Linked DNA regions of Drosophila melanogaster. The protein of the gene in region 1 purifies or fractionates together with the protein of each later gene. This does not show direct contact. Each region holds a gene or a part of one and is shown on either strand. Other genes may lie near its edges.

Region 1 (11,304 bases):
GACTCAAGACAAGTCGCTTGGAGCAGCCCCATTAATGGGGCCCTAACGAGTTCGGACTTCTGGTGCAAATGGCCCGTGCCACAAATTGTGGCAAACATATTTATTTATAACTGGATACATGTGTCTGAAGGCTGCCCTTCATGCAGAAGGCATGGAATGCTCGAAACATAATCTGCTTGTTTTGGGTGGACTCAAGTTGAGCGTGCCAGCCAAGTGTCAAGTGCCAAGTGCCCGATGAGTCCTCCCAATTCCGCTACAGCTCCCACTCCAGCTTCCACTTCTCTTAATTTTGAGTACATGGTTAAGCGGTTTTTAACACTTACACGCTTCAAAAGTGCCCGCTGTCACTGATTTATCTGCCCATTTGGACGCCTGCCACCCTGTCGCCAGTCACCCACATAGCCACCCCCATGTCAGCCACCCCCACCCACAAAGCACACCATTTGCGCCCACTTGCGCTCAGTTATGAATATATTAGTCGCAAATTTGTTGCGCTCTTTGCTGCTTCGCTGGCAAATTGATTGCGGCACGGATGGCTCAGTTTCCAGTTTCCAGACAGGCAGCGGGGGATCCGGATGATTACGTTGATGGGAGAACGCAGTGCCATTCCATTCGAGTGTCCAAATCGCCAAATCGCTACGATTGTCAAAACGTCAGCATTCCGTTTCCAGTCACTCCGCTTTGTGGCTTTGTGGTCGACGGGACGACGAGTGGCGTTTCTGGATCCCGAAGTCGGAGTTGTGAAAACTTTTCACTCCGTGATTGACACCGAACACTGGGTCTTAATGCACTCTATGCTAATTTGATTATGACGTGGCAGGCTCAATTTAAATTACCGTGACAACGCCGCTCGACAAAATGAGCCACCGCAAAACTGGACACGATTCGAAGGGGTAAATTATGAGTACTAAGCTCAAGAAATATTTGTATTTGCTTTTGATTTTAAAGAGTTTCTCATTTCGCTGAACGCATTTAAGAAGAATGAGGAACACAACAGGACTACATTTGCATATCGCTCTAAATAATATTAAAACATACTTTTTAAACGCAACAACGAATGTTAGCCATCATAAAAAGTGTATATAAATATTTTAATATCATATTATTTAGATAAATCCTAAGGATTGTCGAACGTCTAACCAATTGGCCAATTTGTACCGCAATTTATTTCCTTAACCCTTAATTGGTAATTATTAATTGATAATTAAAACTAACGTAAAGTGATAATTAAAACTAACGTAAGAAATTCGATGCCCAACAAATTTTAGTCGGTGTAATTACTAATCACCAAAGCAAACGAATAAAAGTTTAGCAAGTATTTGAAAAACATACACTCTTTTCAAAGTGATGAGCTATTTAGTGATATCTTAATAAGTTGAGCAAAATTTAACGATATGCATTAAACAATAGCTTTATATTTATGCAAAAATGCTAACTATTACTATTGTGTCTTCTGCAAACTATAAACTTTATAGTATAAAGGACTTAATAGTTGTAACCATGGCTAAAATGGCTGCAAAATGTATCCGTAAATCTTAAAACAATTGCCGACAAGTTCTAAGATAAAGATCAACCAAGAACTATATCGAATTCCCCAAACATCTCATTAGTATAACCACATCCCTGAAAGATTGATTGCATGGTACCCACCTCCATTGCGGCTCTTGTCCATCTCGCCGTTGTAGTTCCTGGGCGACATGGTCAGGCTAATGTCACTGCAGGAGTCGCCGCTGCACTCGAAGTCCTCGTCCATGCCCACATCCAGGGCCGGTTCCATGGGACTGTGGCTGCCGGACTTGGCTGGCGAGGAGTGGGCCTGTGGGGGCGTCGGCTCCTGGAGCTGCGCCATGCCGGGATTCGCTTGATCCTCGTGCATCCTGCCGGCGGCGGCCATGTGCTGCAGTCGAGCGTGGACACTCAGACTGTGCACGTAGTCCTGGTTCATAAGCTCGGCCAATCGCCGGTAGCTGAGATCCGTGGGCGCAACTCCGGCGGCGGCGGGATTGAAGGGCAGGAAACGCGTATCCAGCGGATGCGGCAAGGTGGGTGGAAGCTGTTTCTCCAAGGCATGTGTTGGTGGATGTGGTGGTGGTGGTTGTGGCTGTGCCTGTGCCTGTGGTTGCTGTGCAGCAGGATGACCAGCTGGACTGGAGGGCAGGTAGCAGCCGCCGGCAATTAAATGCGTTAATCTCTCGTGATTCTGAGCGAAGTAGCCGTGCAGCCAGGGATTATAAAGCGGAAACTGGGTGAGTCCCAGGGCCGAACTGGCTACCATGGCGCGGGCACTCAGCTCCTGCTCCTGCTCTGCCTCCTGCTCCTGGTCCCGCTCCTCGGGCGGCGATGGTGGTGTGGCAGTGGCAGGCGTTTGGTTGGCGATCAGACTCTCGATCGAGAAGGGCTTGGGAAAGGGCTTGCTGGCCAGCCTGGTAGTGGGCGATTCCATGGTGCCGATCTCTCCGTTTTGCAGCAAGGCCGGTCGTTCCATATTGCCCACTCAAAAGCACACTTTCAGGGCGATCGAAACTAACTTCTTTCTTCTAATTTCTCAACGCGTTTCTGTTCCCGAGCAGACACGACGCAGTGAACCGTTCAGAGATCTGCGAGCGACTGTCCAAGTGCAGCAGACATCACGTACGCGTACGGCACCCAAGTCGAAGCCCAGAAGCCCAGAGGCGCCGAGCAACCACCACCACGGATGGTCTGGCTCCTCCTCCATTTCAATATGGCGCATGACAAACAGCTGGTGTCTCTGTCTGGCGCGCGCTCCCATTGGCCAGCTGCTAATTGCCGGGTGGTGCGGACAGCGAACCAGTTTCCGGCAATGGAGCAGCACCACTACCACCTCCACCACCGCCCGCGTTCCCGCTCCGTAATTGCGTTCTGCTCGAATCGCTCGGTAATCAGACATCGCCGGACTGGCGAAGAGAACGCCCTGCCATTAATGCCCCATCTTCGCCAGCTCCTTGGCCATTGGGGAGTACTCCCGCCGGCGGAGGACGGAGGATGGAGGATGGTGTTCTCGCGAGGCATATTAGTGACCAATTTAAATTCAAATGTCAGTTGCCAGTGGGTGTGACTGCTGGGCATCATTAGCAGACACTCCAGTGTGCTCAACGATTTGTATCTGCAACTTAGGTGCATATCTATTAGTCTACGGATATCTGGTTTTAATTATCTAAACATACCAGTAAACAGCTCTGTACAACTATTAATTTTAATTGGTGGTGTTTGAGGTATTTAGTTGGTTCTTAAGCGCACTAATATAGATTTTAAGAGAGTTTAATTGAAAGTGACATCCGTAACAGGCAGAATTATTCAAAGGAATACTCGTATTTCTTGGATGGTAGCAATCGCTGATAATTTAATGACCCCTAATTTATTGCAAGGATTAATATTAACAATGATTTTTTGTAGGCCTGATATGCCAAATTAAATATTTTATATAACTCGTTTTAAAGGTAAACAGGCATAAATACCTCCAACAAGTGTTATTACATAGGGTATATATACATACATAGGTTATACAAAAGTACGTTTATAGTATCCACAAAATACAGACAACAATCCATTGCAGTCGTGACCCCCACCGTCCCCAAGAAGCAGATGGATGGGACTACTGTTTCCTACATCCGCTGTGGACAAATCCACATCCGTTCCCTGATTCCTCGATTCCCCCGAAGCACCCACAATTGATATGCCGATCGTTCTTCGCGCAGCAGGTGGCAATAATTTGCATGTGTATGGCTTAATTGATCGTAATTGACCAAATTTTTGGCCATAAGTGACGAGGCGTCCATTGATTGGAGCGCAAATTGGCATTGGTCACGTTTGGGTGTTTGAAATCTTTTACGAGCACCGAACATTGCGAACATTTAACCGATTCCACAGCGGCATAAATTACAATACAATTATGCGGCTCGTTGATAATTTTGGTTTTCTGATTATGATGAAAGCTGTTGGGTTTTGTTCGGCACTTTGGCAGCTTGTCAAGAATCAGCAGGGATGGGCGGGGATGGATCCTTATAGACACTGTCCGCCGAGTGTGGGTAAATATTTCTGGGCAGCTTCCCTTCTTCTGACGGCGGAAAACGGGCAAATTAACGAATTGCAACGAAGCGTTGAATGCGCTCAAATAAATCAGAGCACTGTTGACACCATCATCATTCCTCATCCCCGGATTCGCCAACCCCAGTCCGTGGTACCCCAATCCTTAATGCGCAGTCCCCAATCCCAGTGCCATGTGCAGAGGGCGAAAGATACATCTCTACAGATACTCTCTTTCGTTTGAGCGAGCGCGTTTTTTAGATTTTTTTGATTGCCTGCAGACGGAGAACAATTCGAAATTATTTACTGACAAATCGTTGCGAATTTTTGGCATATTCCTGAAATGCACAGAAATGCGCACACTGCACAAAACGAACACAATTAAAGCTCTAGCCATACGTATAATGAGATACAAAAGTATCTGCAACTAAGTACCTCGAATTGCTCGCTGTCTGCGGTCTCTAAATTATATCGTTCGACTAATGAAATTAAAATTTCATGCCATTCGACGCAATGTGAAGGCGAACATGTGTTCCCGTGACCGCAGAACACGGAGCTACACGGAGCATATAGTCATATAGCTGGAGCTGTCCGATGTTTGCCCAACATTGGACACGCCCCCACTCAATTTGCGGCGATACTTCGGATCCGGCGGATGCCTACTGCAGTTGGTAATTGTGTCATTTTACCCCTTCTACCCCATCCATCTAGCCATTATTGCGCATACATACATACCTCTATCCTGGCCCTTTCCGCGACCTGTAATTAAGGACCTCTGGCTTATGCCAAATTGTTTACACAATTTAATTGGAATATCGAAGGTAAATTACAGTTGTCGATGCTCGTTTGTGGGCAAGCATGGTTTATTCAGTAATTAGCGGGTCATTCGATTGCATGACCACTCATTGAATATTCCATATTCCATATTATATTGGTGCTGAATACCTTTGCATGGGAATTAGTCGTATTGACTGCCTTCGTAGGAAAGTTATTCGAAAATTAATTGGGTTTCTATCTACTTAACTTTTCCTACTCCTTATTTATCGACCTTAAAATGAGTTTAAGTCTTAATATTTAAGGATTTGATTTGTTTCGGTTGTATAATTAGTATCCTAATTATTGGTGTTTTTCCTTTAGTCTTTGTACAATACTCAATCAACATTTTTTTGTTTGCAAGTAGTTTGTAATTTTTTATAATACTCCTTAAATTTAATTGACTTTTGCTAAGGATTTCTATAAGAGAGTGGCACGGCTATATGAATATGGTGTACTCTGATAGCCAAGTTCAAAATTATTATGTCTTCCTACCAAAATAAATGTAACTAAACAACAAAAAAAAGTAATGTTTGACGATTAGGTAATTTTATGCTAGATTTTTGGGAAGAAGATAGAACATTATATGTCTTAAAAATAGATTTTTTTCTATAAAACCGGAATTATCTAATATAAGCTTAAAGAGAGATGAGATTACATAATAATTTAATTAAATATTTAATAATTATTTAATAACATGTTTAATGACATACTTGAGTAATATGAAGCGGAAATACCTATTTTTATCAAGTGGTGTGAATATGACATTTTGAAATTCGATATGATGTACATTGGTATTTATTCTGCGGCTGGATGGTATTTTTATTGTTATCGGCCCTGGCGCACATATGGTAACACTGTGCTCAAAGTCGATTAGTCGTTTTTCGTTGGAGAGCTTGCTGTTCGCATTTATCCGCCTGCTCGCGCGTAGAAAAGTTGTTACTTAATGTTCATTGCTGCCACACGTGCTTGATTATTAATTGCAGTGCGCTAATCAGTCGCTTGTCAGCTGAGCAGACCACAAAAAACGAAGGCAATTATTTAGGCTGCCCTTTCAGTTCGGCATTACATAAGAAACGAATGGCCAAACGAAAATAATTTTGAAACAATTTCGGAGTTAATATTGCATCAGCAATTCTGAACAGCAGATACACAAAAAGGGCAGCAATTTGGCCAACAAAGTCTTCATAAACGACAACAAACGAGTGAAAATATGAGCTGGGCAACAACAAAGCAAAGGCACAAATGTTTCAACTGTAGCAGCGGCAGCAACAAAAACAACCGGAGCAGCGGCAGCAGCAGCAACAACAACAACTGTGCGCCTAGCAACAAGATAATTTCGACGAGCGATTTCCTTTGATTTGCGCCCATCTGTGTCGAAAGCAGCCGAAAAGCCAAAGAGTGTAAATAGCACGTAGTTTTAGTACAATTCACTGTAGCAAAAGTGAGTTTCAACCGGGGCAGCCAATAAGCCTGCGATAGCAACAATAATACAGAACGAGCGCAAAAGAAATCACCAGAGATTGCACAATATGAATCCGATCAAGGCACAGTCAACGGGCAGTCCCAAGAAATTCAACGTATTCGCACACGTCAAGTACGAGCATTTGGTTGCCGGAGTATCCGGCGGAGTGGTGTCCACACTCATTCTACATCCCCTGGATTTGATCAAGATTCGATTCGCAGGTGAGTCATCCACACGCCTCGGGGAATTCCACGATTTCCGTGAGCAAGCAGTAGTACACTAATATAACATCTTATAGGGAAATATATTTGTTGAATAATCCAAAATGCCAGTGCTCTAATTTAAGTATTGTGTTTCGCAATATGGCTCTGTAATATAGGCACCTTTCTGATTAATCTGGGCTTAAAATAGAATACAAAAACTATACCTATTAAAAGAAAATTGTCAACTGATAGAGAAAAACGTATATGTCACCATAGGAACTAGCACTACGTATATTGCTGTGTAGTAAAGAGCACTCGGCACGTGCGGGGAAATGCCGCCAGTCTGGCTGCAGATTATTGTTGCACTTTACTCGCCGCTCGCGTTTTGTTTGCGCAATGCTTTACAAATTTTCCATGGAAAGTTTGAGACGCTACTCGGGTATCCGAGAATTCGCACTTGATTTTTTTTTTTGTGCACCATGGAAAATTTGAGAAGCCCGTGTAGTCAAGTAGTGACGTGCATGCTTTCGCACATAAACAATGCTGATGAATGGGGCCACGGGCACGTGAAAACATAGTTTTTCCTCAATGCGATAGAAAGATGAAATTTATGGTTGTGTTGACAATTGTGTGTGGAATCTCAAATTGGTCTAATCTGGATTTTGCAGACAGGAAACGTGGGGCAACAGCAGTTCGAATTGTTTACTTGCTTTTACTTTTATGCCGCCTGGCCAAAGATCGATACAAGCTATCAACCTTTGATATTAATGGCTATAATATGAGCCATCAGCTTACGCAGGCCATTGTGTTTATGACTATTTGCTGAAAACTACTTCTTTGTAGTCAATCTGAATCATATGTTTGGCCTCGTTTGCGTTTCATGCGCAAAATACATGAACAACATTTCCGTATAGTCTGCTTCGGGATACCAAAACAACAACAACGAACCGAGAGCGGGTTTCTTGATTATTAAATATTGTTGCCGTCCAGTTTGCCCGGATCAGTGCTAAAAATCGTTAACGCAGTAAGTGAATATGTAAATTCACCAGAAAAGTGGCTTGTAAACAATAACAACCAGCACACGAGTTGTTTATGCGAATTAAAGTCACACCATGCGAGTTTTGTGAACTGATAAAGCGAACCCAAGTTGGGATGGTTAGAAAATCCAGAGCTAGTGGTTTCGCCGCAATGAACCTCCTTGAATCCGGTGGCTTCTCGATTTGGCAACAGCTGTTTTCTATTGACTTGCGCAAGGCCTTTATGGCGATGACGCATTTTGGCCAAACGAAACCCGTTTATCTTGCTTTTGATTTTCTGCTCTTGCTCGTTTTTAATCACGTGACCACTTGACTCGACTGTACATTGCAATGGCTTTGTTAACGGCAACTTTCAGCGGCAACTGTCCGGTTTATGTGGCACAAGCGCCAGTTCCAGTGGCTAAAAACGAGTTCCAACTGTTGCCATGCGGGAAGTCGACTGATTCAGCACTCTGCGACCTTATCGCTGCGACTTTATCGAGTGCATGTCGAAAAACTCTTTACGCTGGCCAAAACCAATGTGGTTGCTTAGTCGTAAATACCCCAAAAGAACTTGCCTCTTGGGCTGTCCAGTCTCCTTTCAAGGTCACCCATGAGGATGCTATAAATAGTCTAGAAGCGAAGACGAGCCCCTTTCTTCTGCCTGGTACTGTTGTCAGGCCAGATCTTATGATTGCCCAGCTCATATAGAATATGTCGTCCCATATAAATAGCTAAGTATCTGCTAATGGGCGCGAAAACAAGTAGAGTGGCTGATTTCGACGCTCCCAGCTTATCGCATCCGCTGGCAATTAATGCTATCTATCTGCTTTTGGCGAAAACAACTTTGGCCACGGGCCTGGACTTGTTGGTTTCGGAGTCAACAACTGATATTCCCGTAGACGTACAGTTGCCTAGGTGAAGAGCAATACACACAATATGACGCATTCGCCGGCCCTTCAGTGACAGTATCCATAATCATAATCGTGCCAGACCCAAGGCTGCAATGTCTAGACATGTTTATCATTTACGAGCGTGATTCCTTCTCCACTTGCAGTTAACGATGGCCGGACAGCTACGGTGCCGCAATACCGGGGACTGAGCAGCGCCTTCACCACGATTTTCCGGCAAGAGGGCTTCCGCGGACTCTACAAAGGCGTCACCCCCAATGTCTGGGGATCGGGCTCCTCTTGGGGCCTGTACTTCATGTTGTAAGTACTTTGCTCTACTGATAATGGTAACAAACCTAAATGTAAATACTCCCTTCAGCTACAACACCATTAAGACATTTATCCAAGGAGGAAACACGACCATGCCATTGGGCCCCACAATGAACATGCTTGCAGCTGCTGAGTCGGGAATTCTCACCCTGCTGCTGACCAACCCCATCTGGGTGGTGAAGACGCGTCTCTGCCTGCAGTGCGATGCCGCGAGTAGTGCCGAGTACAGGGGCATGATCCACGCCTTGGGCCAGATATACAAGGAGGAGGGAATCCGTGGCCTGTACCGCGGCTTTGTTCCCGGCATGTTGGGCGTCTCCCACGGAGCCATCCAGTTCATGACCTACGAGGAGCTGAAGAACGCCTACAACGAATATCGCAAACTGCCCATCGACACGAAGCTGGTGAGTAGGCAGATCACAAATGACCAACCCATCACATGACCAAGCTGCGCGTGGCGTTGACATCGCCTATATACTAAATTGGGTGAACAGATGCGGTTAACTTAATAGCACAAAATTATTACTTATACAAATAACAAAATACTTTGAAGTCTTTAAGTTTAATGCGTAACGTTCAAAAATTGAAAATCTATCGAGTACTTTTTTTTCAATTACTTTTTTCGTTAGAAGACTTTCTTAATCAGAAAAATATTTGTTCGCTTTGTTATATTTTGTGTGACCACATCTGTATCTGTATCCGAATATATCTGGTTGTGATGACGTCTCCGCCATTTGGCAGCCATTCAGCTCATTCTGTTCGCCTCACTAATGTGTGCTCCCTCACCCACAGGCCACCACCGAGTACTTGGCCTTCGCGGCTGTCTCCAAGCTGATCGCAGCGGCGGCCACCTACCCGTACCAGGTGGTCCGGGCACGGCTGCAGGACCACCATCACCGATACAACGGCACCTGGGACTGCATCAAACAGACTTGGAGGTACGAGCGCATGCGAGGTTTCTATAAGGGCCTGGTGCCCTACCTGGTCCACGTCACGCCCAACATCTGCATGGTCATGCTGATCTGGGAGAAGCTGACCAGCTAGATGGAGTATTAGTACTAGATCATCGAATCTGGAATCTGACAGAGAATTTAAGCTAAGCACCTAGAATACACGAATCTTTCTCGTTTCCTCCGATGTGCAGCTAACAGCAGAAAATGACAAACTTATTCTGTATTATTGTTGTAACTCGATTTCGGTTTAGCCCTAGCACCTTACTTTAGCCTTAAGTGTATTCCATATCTAGTTTATTGTACATCCTTCACTCCCAACTTCGAAAGTAACTGATGTGATCGGGGCGTCGTCAAAATAGCCCCTGCCCATGAAATGTAATTTCAAAAACGCATTTCTTGCACTCTTCATCAAAACAAACACATATTTAGTTCTTAGTTTAGTTAAATTATTTATTCTATAACGGCTTGGAATTGTGTAAGCACAAAGAAAAACCAGTTACTGTTTAGTTGATACAAAATTTCGTTTTGGCAAAAAGATTCTTCATAGTTTTTGAAAATGGTTTATAATTTTAAGGATAAACCTTGACATTTATGTAAATAAGCATAAACGCATTGTGAAACCAACTTAGTCCTACAGTGGAACAATCTTATTGAAATCAAAGAAAAGATAAGAAATGCGAAATTACTTACCCATATTAAAAGGCCACGATGGCAGACCTAAATGAAAACCAAGAAACAAACTAAAGCAAACACTGTCAGCGCGTCCAGCCTGCGTCTTTTCATTTGTCCAAGGGCTCATGGCAGCTTGAGTAAGTAGTCCTTGCTCCTTCCGCTCCCTAAGTCTTCGATCACCCCCTTAATTGTGCAGAATCTCTTTGCTAATCTGAAACAGCCAATGCGCCCTTACTGTAAGTAGATGTAGCTTTCAGTTCTCAGTCTCTAACCGCATTGTGTTTGGTTCTCTTTGCAGGTTTGAGGGCTACAGAGGCTTCTACAAGGGGCTGAAGGCGAGTTTAACCCGAGTAGTGCCTGCCTGCATGGTCACCTTTCTGGTGTACGAGAACGTCTCGCATTTCCTGCTCGCCAGGCGGAAGCGAATTGAGACTAAAGAGGATGCGTCGGACGTGTGATTTTCCTTTGGTTGGATTCCTTTTAGGCTTCTAAGATACATATATCACCTCACGACATTTCCATATGTCTCTATAGTCAGCGGGCAGTTGCAATCGTGCTGAGCATGCGCAGCTGCTTTTAGTTTAAGTTTAGTTAGTTGTTGCGAAGACTTATTTGGTCTTTTCGTAGTAAGTAAAGTGATTGTTGTTCCTAAGTGTGGATCAGAATGGATTTGTGATTGAATTCAGACGAAAGTGTTACAATATACCTGTGAAATATAAGTCCATAGCCTCACTCTTGCAAATAAACCAAATCTTTGTGAGCCAAAGAATGCCTTTTTCTGGGTGTGATATCCTTGTTTAAATGAATAATAATAAAAAAAATAAACTATCTGGAAAATTATACCATCTGGCATCTTTATAGATCGTGTAAGCTTTGCAAAAAGCAACCACAGTGGTATCCCTCTAGGAGTAGTATATA
Region 2 (11,029 bases), on another chromosome or scaffold:
ATTCATTCCATGCGAAAAATTCAATAAACCAAGTGCATCAGGCATCCTTGACCAGCAGATTGTAATTGGGTCGACCCAGGCTCCGTGTACGCAGGAACTCCGCCTGAACCTCGGCCTCCATGTAGAAGGCCATCACAGCCGGATCTCGTTTCATGCGTTCCAGCCAAAGGGTCTGAAAAATGGTATACTAATGTACTTCATCACTCCTGGGATACACGGACCTGCTCACCAGCTGGGGGAAGCGACTCTGATCGTAGTTATAATCCTCTCCACGCTGCAACTTAAGGAGCTCGAGGCGCTCACACCAGGGCCAAATCATATAGTCCAGAATGCCCGTCTGCTCGCCACCAAAGAATTCCGTACCACGTCGAGCCAGCTCCCTTTCGTAGATGTCCAGGCCGCTCCAGAAGGGCTCCAGATCACCGCCATCGGATGCCTTGAAGAAGGCACCTAACACCGCTCTAAATCGCTCGATTAGTAACTTGTCCTGCACTTTCTTCAGCGGATCACGTGGATAGAGTGGTCGCAATGGATACTGCTCGTCCAGATATTCACAAATCAGTAGCGACTCTGTGAGCACAGGTGGTCCAGGTTCTCGCACGATTTCTAGAGCCGGCACCTTGCCCTGTGGATTCTTCTCCAGCAGCCACTCCGGCTTGTCTGTGAGATTAATGTAGATGCTGTGATACGGGATCTGCTTGGCGTCCAGGACCAGATGCACCCGTTGGGCAAATGGGCAGAAGCGCATCGAGTACAGGCGAAGGATACCATCTTCGGGAACATCCGGCATGGGTGAGCCTAGTGGGCGCATTTATTATCAATTATGATTATCCTGGTTTCCTGGCTCTACCCACCTTTTGCCAAATGCCTGCCGTTACTCATGATGTGCGTGCTCGGGTCCAGAGATGCAAGTGGTGATAGCGATTGTCATTCGAGTGATTTATAAAGTGCAGCTCACTGCCCTTCGCCGGTTGGCTTCGCTTACGCGGCTGAACTTGGTGGCTTGCGGCTGACACACATACCAAGCCATGTGGATACAGTGAAGCCCCCTTGCAACCTGCATATTGCTCCAAAATATTTGTTTAAAACAAAACTTTTTAAGAACTAAGTTTTTCGAACCACGTTCTGTGAATCTGGAACGGAATTCTTGCCTTTCTAGCCTTAATTCATTTCTTTGTCACATAAAATATTTTAGTTTTTATTGTTTTTAGAACATTATTAAATCTCCTTTGTTATATAATAGTTTCATTTTCAGTACCGATCTAAGCCAGCAGATCGTAGTTTGCATTGCCGGCCTTGCGGGTGCGCCAGAACTCGTTGTGCTGCTCGGGAGTGGCATAGAAGGACTGCACCACCGAGTCCGCCTTCAGGAGGGCAATCCACTTGGTGATCTTCGGGAAACGACTCTCGTTGAAGTTGTACTCCTTCTGCAACTTCAACTCGATTACAGAGAGGCGTTCGAACCAGGGCCAGATCATGTAGTCCACGAATCCCGGCTTGTTGCCGCCAAAATATGGGGTGCCCCGCTTGGTCAACTCCTCCTCAAAGATATCAAGTGCCGTCCAGTAATCCTCCAGACCGGTGCCCTGCACAAGGATGTTTATGAAGGCACTGGTGATGCTGCTGAAACGTTCCAGCAGAATCTTGTCCTGTGCCCGCTTCAATGGGTCCTTGGGCAGCAACGGATTCTCCGGGTACTTATCGTCCAGATACTCGGCAATAATCAGCGACTCGATGAGCGAGGGCTCACCCTTCTCCGCCACCAGCTGCAGGGCAGGCACCTTAAGCAACGGACTCACTTCCACCAGCCACTCTGGTTTCTCGGTGAGATTGATGTAGACACTGTGATAGGGCACATTCTTGGCGTTCAGGACGAGATGAGCCCGCTGAGCGTAGGGACAGAACCTCATGGAGTACAGGCGAAGGACTCCATCGTCAGGGAGTACAGGCTTGGGGGAACCTAAAGATAGAATTTATTTACCAGTTAAATTTAGGTTATACAAATAAATCAATAACTTCATGAGTCACTTGTGGAACCCTAAAATCCACCCCTGTATTATTATTTGTTTAGCAAGTCATTGCACTTAAGTTAATGTTGATAGGGCCCAGTCGTGATAAAGCTCAAATTTTGTAGCTACGTTATCTTTTAGAGTGTAAATATTATGGGTTATCTGATATCGGGGTGAAAGCTATAGCTAAAAATGTAAGTAAATTTTACAAATCAAATAATTAATTTAATGCATTACCTACAATTGTAAAAGAATAAAGATCGTATTGAAATTTACCAAATAATATACCTTTCTAACTTTTTAACCAAAAAATCCCAGTTATTCATGCCAATATTCTTTAACATTATGAAATATAAAAATCGTTATTCGATAATTACGCTGAATGTTGGAGAACTTGTTTTATAAATAATACTATAAACACTCTAATGACATGGGCGTTTCTCTTGGCGGCGGCGACAACTGGTTTTGCTTGCTCTCTTACCTTTGGCCAAATGTTTACCAGAACTCATTTTGTTTAATTGCAGAACTGAACAAATTCGCTTAACTGTTGAAATGTCGACGGTGAAATGCGAACTGAGTTTTCTCTTCGACGGCGCTCTGTTTATATAAAGTTTTTTGTTTGTGTTTTAACGCGAATAAGAATAATCGAGCTTTTTGCGACGTGACTCTTAGTTTTCGTTAGCTTTTAAAAACGATTTCTCATCGCAGACGTTTATTTCGATTTAAAACGCTTTACTACATTTGCGATTTGTTTTGTGGGAAGAGACAATCATTTCCTCCGCATTATACATAGTACATCTACTTAGTTTGTTAATAATCACGCCTGTTTGTAAATATAGATATATTTTGTTTTTACATGGTTTGGGGGGAGCTTTATTTTTGTTTTTAATTGAACCTCGGAACTACTACGTACATTTAGAGTTTTAAGTTTATGAACTTTTCGTAAAAAGTTTCGATCGGCGGACTTTCGAAATCAAACTTAATCTATGTACAAAAAAGTTCTCGAAATTTCCGTTCATGCCTTACAAAAAATACAAAAAAGTATTAATACATATACAACAGAGTTGCTGACATCATTGAGTCGCGATAAATAGTTGTTATCAGTAATTGCATTCGAAAAACCAAATTGGAAAGTAATAAATAATGACAACTACACTTGCTGCTGGAATTAATTGTTTATCAAAATGTAAAAAGATCCTTTCGCTGCTTTTGGTCCTACAAATGGGATTTCTTTTGATGCATCCTTTTGAAAACTCAAGTGGATGATTAATTTTTAGTTTTTAATTCATTTTAAAAATGTCCGCAAATGGTAAACATTAAAATTTAATGATTAAACTGTATCGTTTTTTTTCCCGAATCAATTGCGCGTTGTTGTTACGGTAAATACATGGGATAAATAGCTAAAACTAAGTAAATACGTACACTTAAAAAAATTCTACACACTGGAGTTAAATGTTGCTTTGCTTTCGTTTCTGAATTTCTTGCTTTGTCTTGTTTTGCATCGTTGCCTGACGATTTCCATTCTAAGTTTCGTTTATAGTTTCGTTAATTTTTTTTTGTTCGCAATTTGTATTTTGTTTGTTGCTCTATAAAATATGCAAACTGGTTGCATTTTGATCACGGTTCTTGCTGTTGCATATAAACATCCATCTCACTTTTGATTATTGGAACGACTTGAGATTTTTGAAAATGAATGAAGAATATGGCTGTTTTCAAATTTATCCATGGGCATCCGGTTTCGAATCCTTCAGCTTCATTCGCCAATGGTCCAATGGTTCTTTGAAGTTGATCCCTATGGCTGGCCTTAGCCATTCGGTGAGGTGGATGCTCCAGGAGATGTGGTTGTGGCCACTGCATCGCTGTTGCTCATCTTGTGCAGCATGAGGGAGTGCGTCGATCTGGTGGCGGTGGAGCTGGGATACTTTGGCTGCATTTGGCTGTTGGACACTGTGGAAGAGCTGCTGGTCGCCGGCGGTGGCGGTGGCTGCTGGCTGCAAGTGAACAGAGTTCATCAGTGTGCTTTTGCTAGCCCTTAGGACACACACCCCTTCTGCTCGCCATCCTTCTTGCTGTTGAACATGGCCAACTCGATCTCCGTGTGCTGGCTGTTCATGTGGCGCACCCACTCCGCCGGCGTATCAAAGGATCTGCACATGGGAAAGGGAGTTAGTATATATTTTGCTTCTATAACTCCAAACACTTACGTGGAACACAAATCGCAGAGCAGAGTTACGTGATCGTGATCCATATTGTTCTCCTGTTGCTGAAAAACACAATATATAATCTGGTTTTAATACATCCAATAGATATTGGTAACCGATCATCACTACGAGTTAAAATCATACTTCAGTAGATTTGGATTTATTAAAGGGATGAGTTGCTGTCCAAGTACTCACCGAAACGCGACGTCGTTTCTTTGGCACATAGGTTTTAACAGATCGCAGGGCGAGGTTGCTGGAGGCGGATGTGGTGCTCCCGCTGGCACTGGATGGCAGGAGATTCCTCTCCGTGCCGCCCGTGGGATCGCCGGCATGTGTGCCCAGGTGACGGACCAGCATTTTGGTGTCCTCGAAGGACTTCTGACAGATCTCGCAGACCAGCAGCTGCTTGAAGTTGTTATAGTCGCGCAGCGTGTGCTCCTCGCTCTCCTCGGAGGGTGTTCCGCGATCCCTATTCACCTCCAGCTTCACGGCGGACATCTTGAAGTCGAGTGGCTGCTTGGGCGAAGCCAATGGCAACTCCTCCAGATTGTTGTTGTTGGACGCACTGGAGGCGTTTGGTGGGTTGTTGCTCCAGTCGGTCGGCTCCTGTTTGATGGTGAGGAAGTTGTGCGGATGTCGAAGGGTCGGCGGATGTGATGGTGGTGCCTGCTGTGGTGGTGGCGGAGGTGTGGCTGCCAGGCGAGAGGATACCACGTGCTCAAAGTGTGGTGCTTCATAGTAGTCCCGAGCTGAGGGGAATAAAACATGGGATTAGTCATCATTAGCAGCTGTGCTGAGTACTCTTACTCACATCTTTCGCATGCGCTCTCCCTCCTCAGACGTCGCTCGAAGACCAGGCCCACCTCGTTCCGCTCACGAAGTGCCTGCTCCTCGTACTCTGTCCGCCGCAGCGTGGTCTCCGCTTGGTCAGCACCTGGTCCGGCGGTCAGGGGACAACTGCTGCAGCCCACCTCCGTGCAAATGGAAATGGGCTGCGATGGCGGGGCACCTGAACCTCCAACTGATCCTCCTCCTCCTCCTACTGTTGTCGTTGTGGTGGTTGGTGGTGGTGGGTGAGACTGCGACTCCAACTGACCGGGTGCCGCGAAACAGCATTTGTCCTCCGGATCGATGGCCACCTCCTTGTTGACGGAAATGCCCAACTTGCTGCTGCTCGCGACGGTTAGTAGTCCTGTGTGGGCGGCCAATTTGGGTGACTTAATGATCACAGGCGAGTCCTTGGGCATCACGGAGGCACCAAGTCCACGAAACTGCTGCTGGGGATTATGGTGATTCAGGTGGCTGTGGTGTGACGACAGGTGGTGGTGATCCAAAGCGAAACGTGTCGATCCACCCGGCTTGCTGGCATATAGATCTCCCTGAAGTTGCGCCGACATGGTTGATTGTGGCGGCGGCGGAGGGGGCGGCAAAGCGGTTCGAGTGCCATTCGACATGTACATGGTGCTAGCCTCTCGCGGATGCAGATGCCCGGCCAGTGAATGGGGATGATGTGTGGTCGTGACCACTGAGCCGGATCCACCGCCATTGGAAGAGCTGGTGCGGCAGAGGCCACGGATCTTGAGGATCTCACCGCCGCGCAGGACCTCGTTAAGTATGTCGTTGGAAACTGTGGCCTCGCCGCTGTACATGTACTGAACCAGGATCTGGATGGCGCGATGGCTAAGATCCGGCGGCAGGACCACATACAGCACTCCATTGGGATTGGTGATCGGTGCCGTTTCGAACATGGTGGCGAAGAACTGGGACGAAGCACTCAGGATGAACTTGTGGGCCGAGATGCCCACTGTGGGTATATCCGAGGGGATGCCGCTGCTGTTGTAGGAGCTGTACAGAACCACATCGGCGAACTTTTCGTTCCTAAAGGGGAAATATGATGCGTTAATATAGCATATCTACGTATTTTGTAGTACTCTTGGAGAATATTGAAGAAGGGTTCTTAGAAAATGTGTGTTTAATCCTCTGACCCTGATACATTTAATGTTTTTAACATTAAACAATTAAAAACGCTGCTAGATCACAATTACAAAAAACAAAAAACTTCAAATATGTACCAACTATGGTACAGTGGTACTTACTTATAAAGTGTGGCTATGGAAGAGTTAAGATAGGTGAGGTGTGAGTCCCACTTAAGGTGATAGTTTTCGGCGGCCATCTCTGCGGCCGGCAGCTCCTGTACAACGATAAAATCAATAAATAAATCAATAAATGCCGCCAGTGGGGTGTTTATTTTGAATCTCCCGATCCCACCACACCACCCAAGGAGTGGTGAATAGAGGGTTTAGCCACCATGCTCTTGTGACAGCATATTTCTCACACGAAGCAACGGTCATACTTATTCGCTAGCTTCCATTTGTTTACATATTTTCATTTGTGTTTATTTTGAAAATATCAAAATGTCGCAGTTCGACACGCGACTTATTGAGCTGGTTAGGGCTAATCCCAAGCTTTATGAGCGCGAACTTAGAAACGCACCCTACGAAGCGCATAAGAAGCGACATCCGGAAATCTGGAGCAGCATCGCCACTTCATTAAATTCAGAAGGTAAGAAACTGATAAATTGTATAAATATTCCCTAATTCCTCATTATATTTTAACTTAGCTAGTGCCTGTGTCAGTCGTTGGAATCATCTGGTGGCCAAACAGCGTCGGGAGCTGGCCAAAGAAAAGGCCGGAGGCACTGGCTCCGATTGGAGTCTTCTGCCGCATTTGAAATTCCTGCAGCATCACCACCATCCGATTAATCACCGAAATTCGGGTGATCTGAGTAGGAGCACACTGAAATCCAGCGACGAGGTCAACGATGATGAGGATCCGCTCCAGGAGGCCATGGATGAGCAGCTGGCCGTTGCGGGAGCTGCACCAGCACCACCCACAAATCCTGCCCATGCAACGCCAGTGGCTCAAGCAGAAAAGAGGATAGAAGCCCTGCTTGAAGGACTGGGCGAAGCAAACCGAATTAAGGCGGAGAAACGCATTCTGGCCTACCTATGCAAATGCAATCTGCGCGCCCTGAACGACGAGCAAATCGATGATATAGTTATTTAGGAAGATTGCCAAGATGATATAGTTATAAAGGAAGATTGCCATGATGATAAGTTAAATACATACATGCCGTGATAGGATATCAAAAGTAGCAAACATCACTGATCATATAATTGTTTAATAATTAAGTCATTTTTGTTATAGTTTATATATCTGGACAATTATCTTAAGCGAATACTAAATAACTTCTTTTTCCAAATGTATGCTTCCCTAAAAAATATTGTTAATCCATTCATTTAACCTAATCTTCGCATCTAATGAAGTTTACTATACAAACTAACTATTGCATTGTATGATATGATAAAACATTAACACGCCTGTGATTAAATAGTTTATTTTATTTGAGGCTTAAGATTAGCAATTTAAAATTCAAGACAACTGGTAAACCCCAAACAAAGCATCAATTGTCGCCAGAGGTCATTTATAGAGCCAGAGACTTGCGGGAGTGTATAGTAATGCAGTAGGAAGCTATCTGTGTGGCAAAAGCCAACTTTGAACAGGCGGGCGGGGAGCAGGTGGAGTAGGCGAGGGAAAATCGAATTGAGCCACGCCAAAAAACTCCTACTATGACGCAGCTGCTGCTGGGAACTGGTCAAAGAGTCAAAGAATGCGCGCGCAAGCAATAACATGTCCAATATCCATGTCTGGATCGGATCGGGGGAAGGCCTCCAGCACGGGGACAGGGCGACGACGACGCCAAAACAAGCATTTAGTTTATTAATTTGACGACTGCCGCAGGGGGAGCAGTGGGCCGAAACAAAAACATAACGAGCGAGGAGCGTCGTGCACCCTTAACGACTGATGCCACACTACCACTACCCCCTCGTACCGACTGAGTCCCCCTTACTTCACACGTACATGGTGAACCCTCCGACGCACTAAGCCACTATATGAACCAACTACTCCTACGGCCAGCCACCTACCCACTAGACCATTCCCATTCCCAATCCCCGGACTCAGCTCTTGGTATTAACACCGTATTATCGATTGATTTCCAGCACAAGCACACAACAAAAATCAATAGGCTGCCAGAGCCAAAATCAAATATTGTACAGTTCTGTGATTGTTTAGTTCAGTGTTGTCGTAAAAGTTATAAACAATTTGTAGACTCGAATGTATACTTACGCCTTAATAAATGGATTTTCAAAGTACGCGCCCAAAACGTTTAAATGCTACATTTAACTGGAAATTCACCTTGTCTCGCCTCTTGGTTTTTTTATTTGGTTTAAAATCTCTTTAAATCACTGGATGAATTGGATGGAGTCCGTGGATTTTTGGGGGACCGTGCTTGTTCGTTATTTGTTGTCAATTAATAATTTGTTATTGCTCTTCATTGAGAACGCTGGGGAAAACCGTGCGACTTGGACTTTTGAGCTGGGGAAACTGCGCAGCGCGTCGCTTGAGCTTTCGCGTTGGTGGCCACCGAACGAATAAAATCGCAGTCAAAGAAACAGGACCAAAAGGACTCTCCCAGGCGAGAGAGAGAGAGAGAGAGAGAGCGATTGAGATTGACGGGGTGCGAGCCACGGGATGCGACAGTGAGAGAGAGAGAGAGAGGGAGCAGCCCTCGTCCTCACGTGCGCATTGTTATTGTTGTGGTTGGTTCGAAGTTGGATACGAAGCGCGCGTAAAATTGATTTCCTGAGCATATTGATTTTCGGTATCTCACTTGGCCTACACCGCCTCCTCGGCCCCCTGAGTTTCCGCCTGCTCAGTTTCCTGCCCATCCTCGTCGGCCACCTCCTTTACCACCTCCATTTGTTCCTCCTGGGTTCCTACCGCCTTCTTTTCATTGTCCTCCTTAGCCATTGCCTGTTTCTCCAACTGCGTTTGCGATGCTGACGATGTGTCCTGCTTTAAGAGTTCTCGCAAAAACATGGTGGCATAGGCAGCCGTGGGCAGCGAGAACTCCAGCAGGAGTGCCATGTAATTGGCCTCAGCTTCAGCTGGTTCTGGTGCAACCGGAATGTTCTTCAATAGCTCCCAGTCGGAGGCGATAAGTGTATCCTCCGGCGTATTGTACATTCTAAAGCTCCACTTGAGATCACTGGACGATATGATCATCTTGCGGTAGGCGCCAGCCAATGCGTATGTCTTCTCCTTGTGCTTCAGTTGATCCGAGGAAAGACCCACTTCGGCGAGCATTTCCTCGTACCACGCGCCGCACTCGTTGCTGGGATAGGTGATGTCGTGTCCAGGCAGGGGAAGGACCACATCGCAAAGTTTGTACTTGCCGCTAGCGATGTCTTCTGCTGTGAGCGGGCGAACCTTTCGCTTGAAAATCGACTCCTCTTCGATGGCTTCATCCCCTTCGGGGACTTCCAGAGGTTCATCGTTAGGCTCCTCTTCTTTTTGCTCTTCCAAGGCCTCGCCCTGCTGCGCCTGCTCTTCCGAGGCTTCCGACTGATCCTGCTCCACATAAACCAAATCCCCGGGTATCAATTTCAAGCCGAACTCCTTAATTCGTCTAGACGCTATCCTGTTGAAGATCAGGCTTTGGTAAGCATGTGGATATAGCATGAGCATGTTGCGTGGTATCTGCCGCAGAGCTGATGAGTAATCTGATTCACCAAATCTGGCCAAGCCGTCCAGCAGCTTCTTTTCGATGAACTTTTCGCCGTAGATCTGTGCAGCTGCCGCCGCGGAGTCGCGATTTTTCCACCACTCCTCGCGTATGGGACGCAAAAACTCCACATCCGAGTCCCGGGGTTTCAGGATCAGTTCGCAGGCCAGTTTGTAATCGTGCTTGAGCAGAGCAACACCCACCTCATAGGTTGGGACACTGGCGCTGTTGCCGAACCGCTGCAAGCCATAGTAGTTGATGAAGCCGCGTTCCTTCAATGATTGCAGTGCCTGCTCGATTTCTTCTCGCTTCTCCTTGGCAATGTGTCGCAAGGCAATACGAAAACGATTGCCCTGCAAATCGCCTAGCTTCAGTGTATTGGATTCGAATCCAAAGTTGCCGATATGAACATTCCGTTGGGAGCGAGCTGCAACCAAAATGCTCTCTGGTGTACGACGCTTGACGGAGAACTTCTGGGTGGTTTTGGCCCGCTTGTCCTTGATGCCGCTGTAGTTCACCTGCGATGGTCGTAAGCTGTAGAAAAATAATGTTTTCTTAGTATATTAAAGCATTTAAAATTTGATCAAACTTACTTCAGTCGCGCTGCTAAAGTAGAGGCCACATCGCTGGTAACCAAATTGGTTTTGTGCACCAGGAAGGTCACGTAATCCGCCGGAAAGCTCCAGCGTTTGTCACCTATGGAATTCGATGCATAAAAAAAGGAATTCCCTGGGTAATCATTTCTACTAACCGCGTCCTGGCTTTGGTTTAAATACTTTTATAGTCTTCTTCTCCTCTGCCGGCACCTGTGAGTCTTTCTGGGTTGAGGTTTCACCTTCAGCCGCATCCTTATTTTCCAAAGATGCCTCCTCCTGGACCTTCGGCTTAGCCTGCTGCTGTCCAATGGTTGTGGACAGTAGCTTGCCCTTGTAAAGCTGTTTTATCATCTGGTGGACTTGTGTTCGCTGCTCCTTATCCAGAGTGGTCACATCAATCTCCACCTTTTGCTCGATCGCGGGATCGTTTTTGGCCTTAGCCAGATTGGCTATATCCTGCCAAACTTCCGGGCCGATTACTGCCTCCAGTTCTTTCCGCCAGTTGTCCAGTTCGTTTTCGGCCACAGCTGTTATAGTATGAGATGCATGAGCATAAGCAAGTATGCAGGATAATTGGTGAATACAGACCCACAATAG

What was found. The genes of interacting proteins can lie anywhere in the genome.
Region 2: the proteins of CG8026 (region 1) and CG6683 purify together in Drosophila melanogaster (affinity purification with mass spectrometry, with the first as the bait; one large-scale study listed by BioGRID). This does not show direct contact.

What each region holds. Positions count from the first base shown.
Region 1 is NT_033778.4:9,186,515-9,197,818, reverse strand, and holds CG8026 (uncharacterized protein), read left to right. Parts: upstream 1-5,722; 5' UTR 5,723-6,070; coding exon of another isoform or gene 6,071-6,217; 5' UTR 6,218-6,389; coding exon 6,390-6,543; intron 6,544-7,472; exon of another isoform or gene 7,473-7,549; intron 7,550-8,598; coding exon 8,599-8,752; intron 8,753-8,810; coding exon 8,811-9,165; intron 9,166-9,553; coding exon 9,554-9,699; coding exon of another isoform or gene 9,700-9,805; exon of another isoform or gene 9,806-10,684; coding exon 10,685-10,844; 3' UTR 10,845-11,149; downstream 11,150-11,304. Other genes in the region: unpg (unplugged), read right to left, coding at 1,651-2,485; CG45085 (uncharacterized protein), read left to right, coding at 6,071-6,217.
Region 2 is NT_037436.4:8,510,443-8,521,471, reverse strand, and holds CG6683 (uncharacterized protein), read left to right. Parts: upstream 1-6,550; 5' UTR 6,551-6,624; coding exon 6,625-6,772; intron 6,773-6,830; coding exon 6,831-7,276; 3' UTR 7,277-7,598; downstream 7,599-11,029. Other genes in the region: se (sepia), read right to left, coding at 38-172, 230-798, 855-882; GstO3 (glutathione S transferase O3), read right to left, coding at 1,263-1,960, 2,491-2,518; CG6765 (uncharacterized protein), read right to left, coding at 3,814-4,000, 4,055-4,156, 4,214-4,272, 4,406-4,959, 5,022-6,088, 6,307-6,383; Pus7 (pseudouridine synthase 7), read right to left, coding at 8,948-10,370, 10,430-10,532, 10,588-10,959, 11,021-11,029.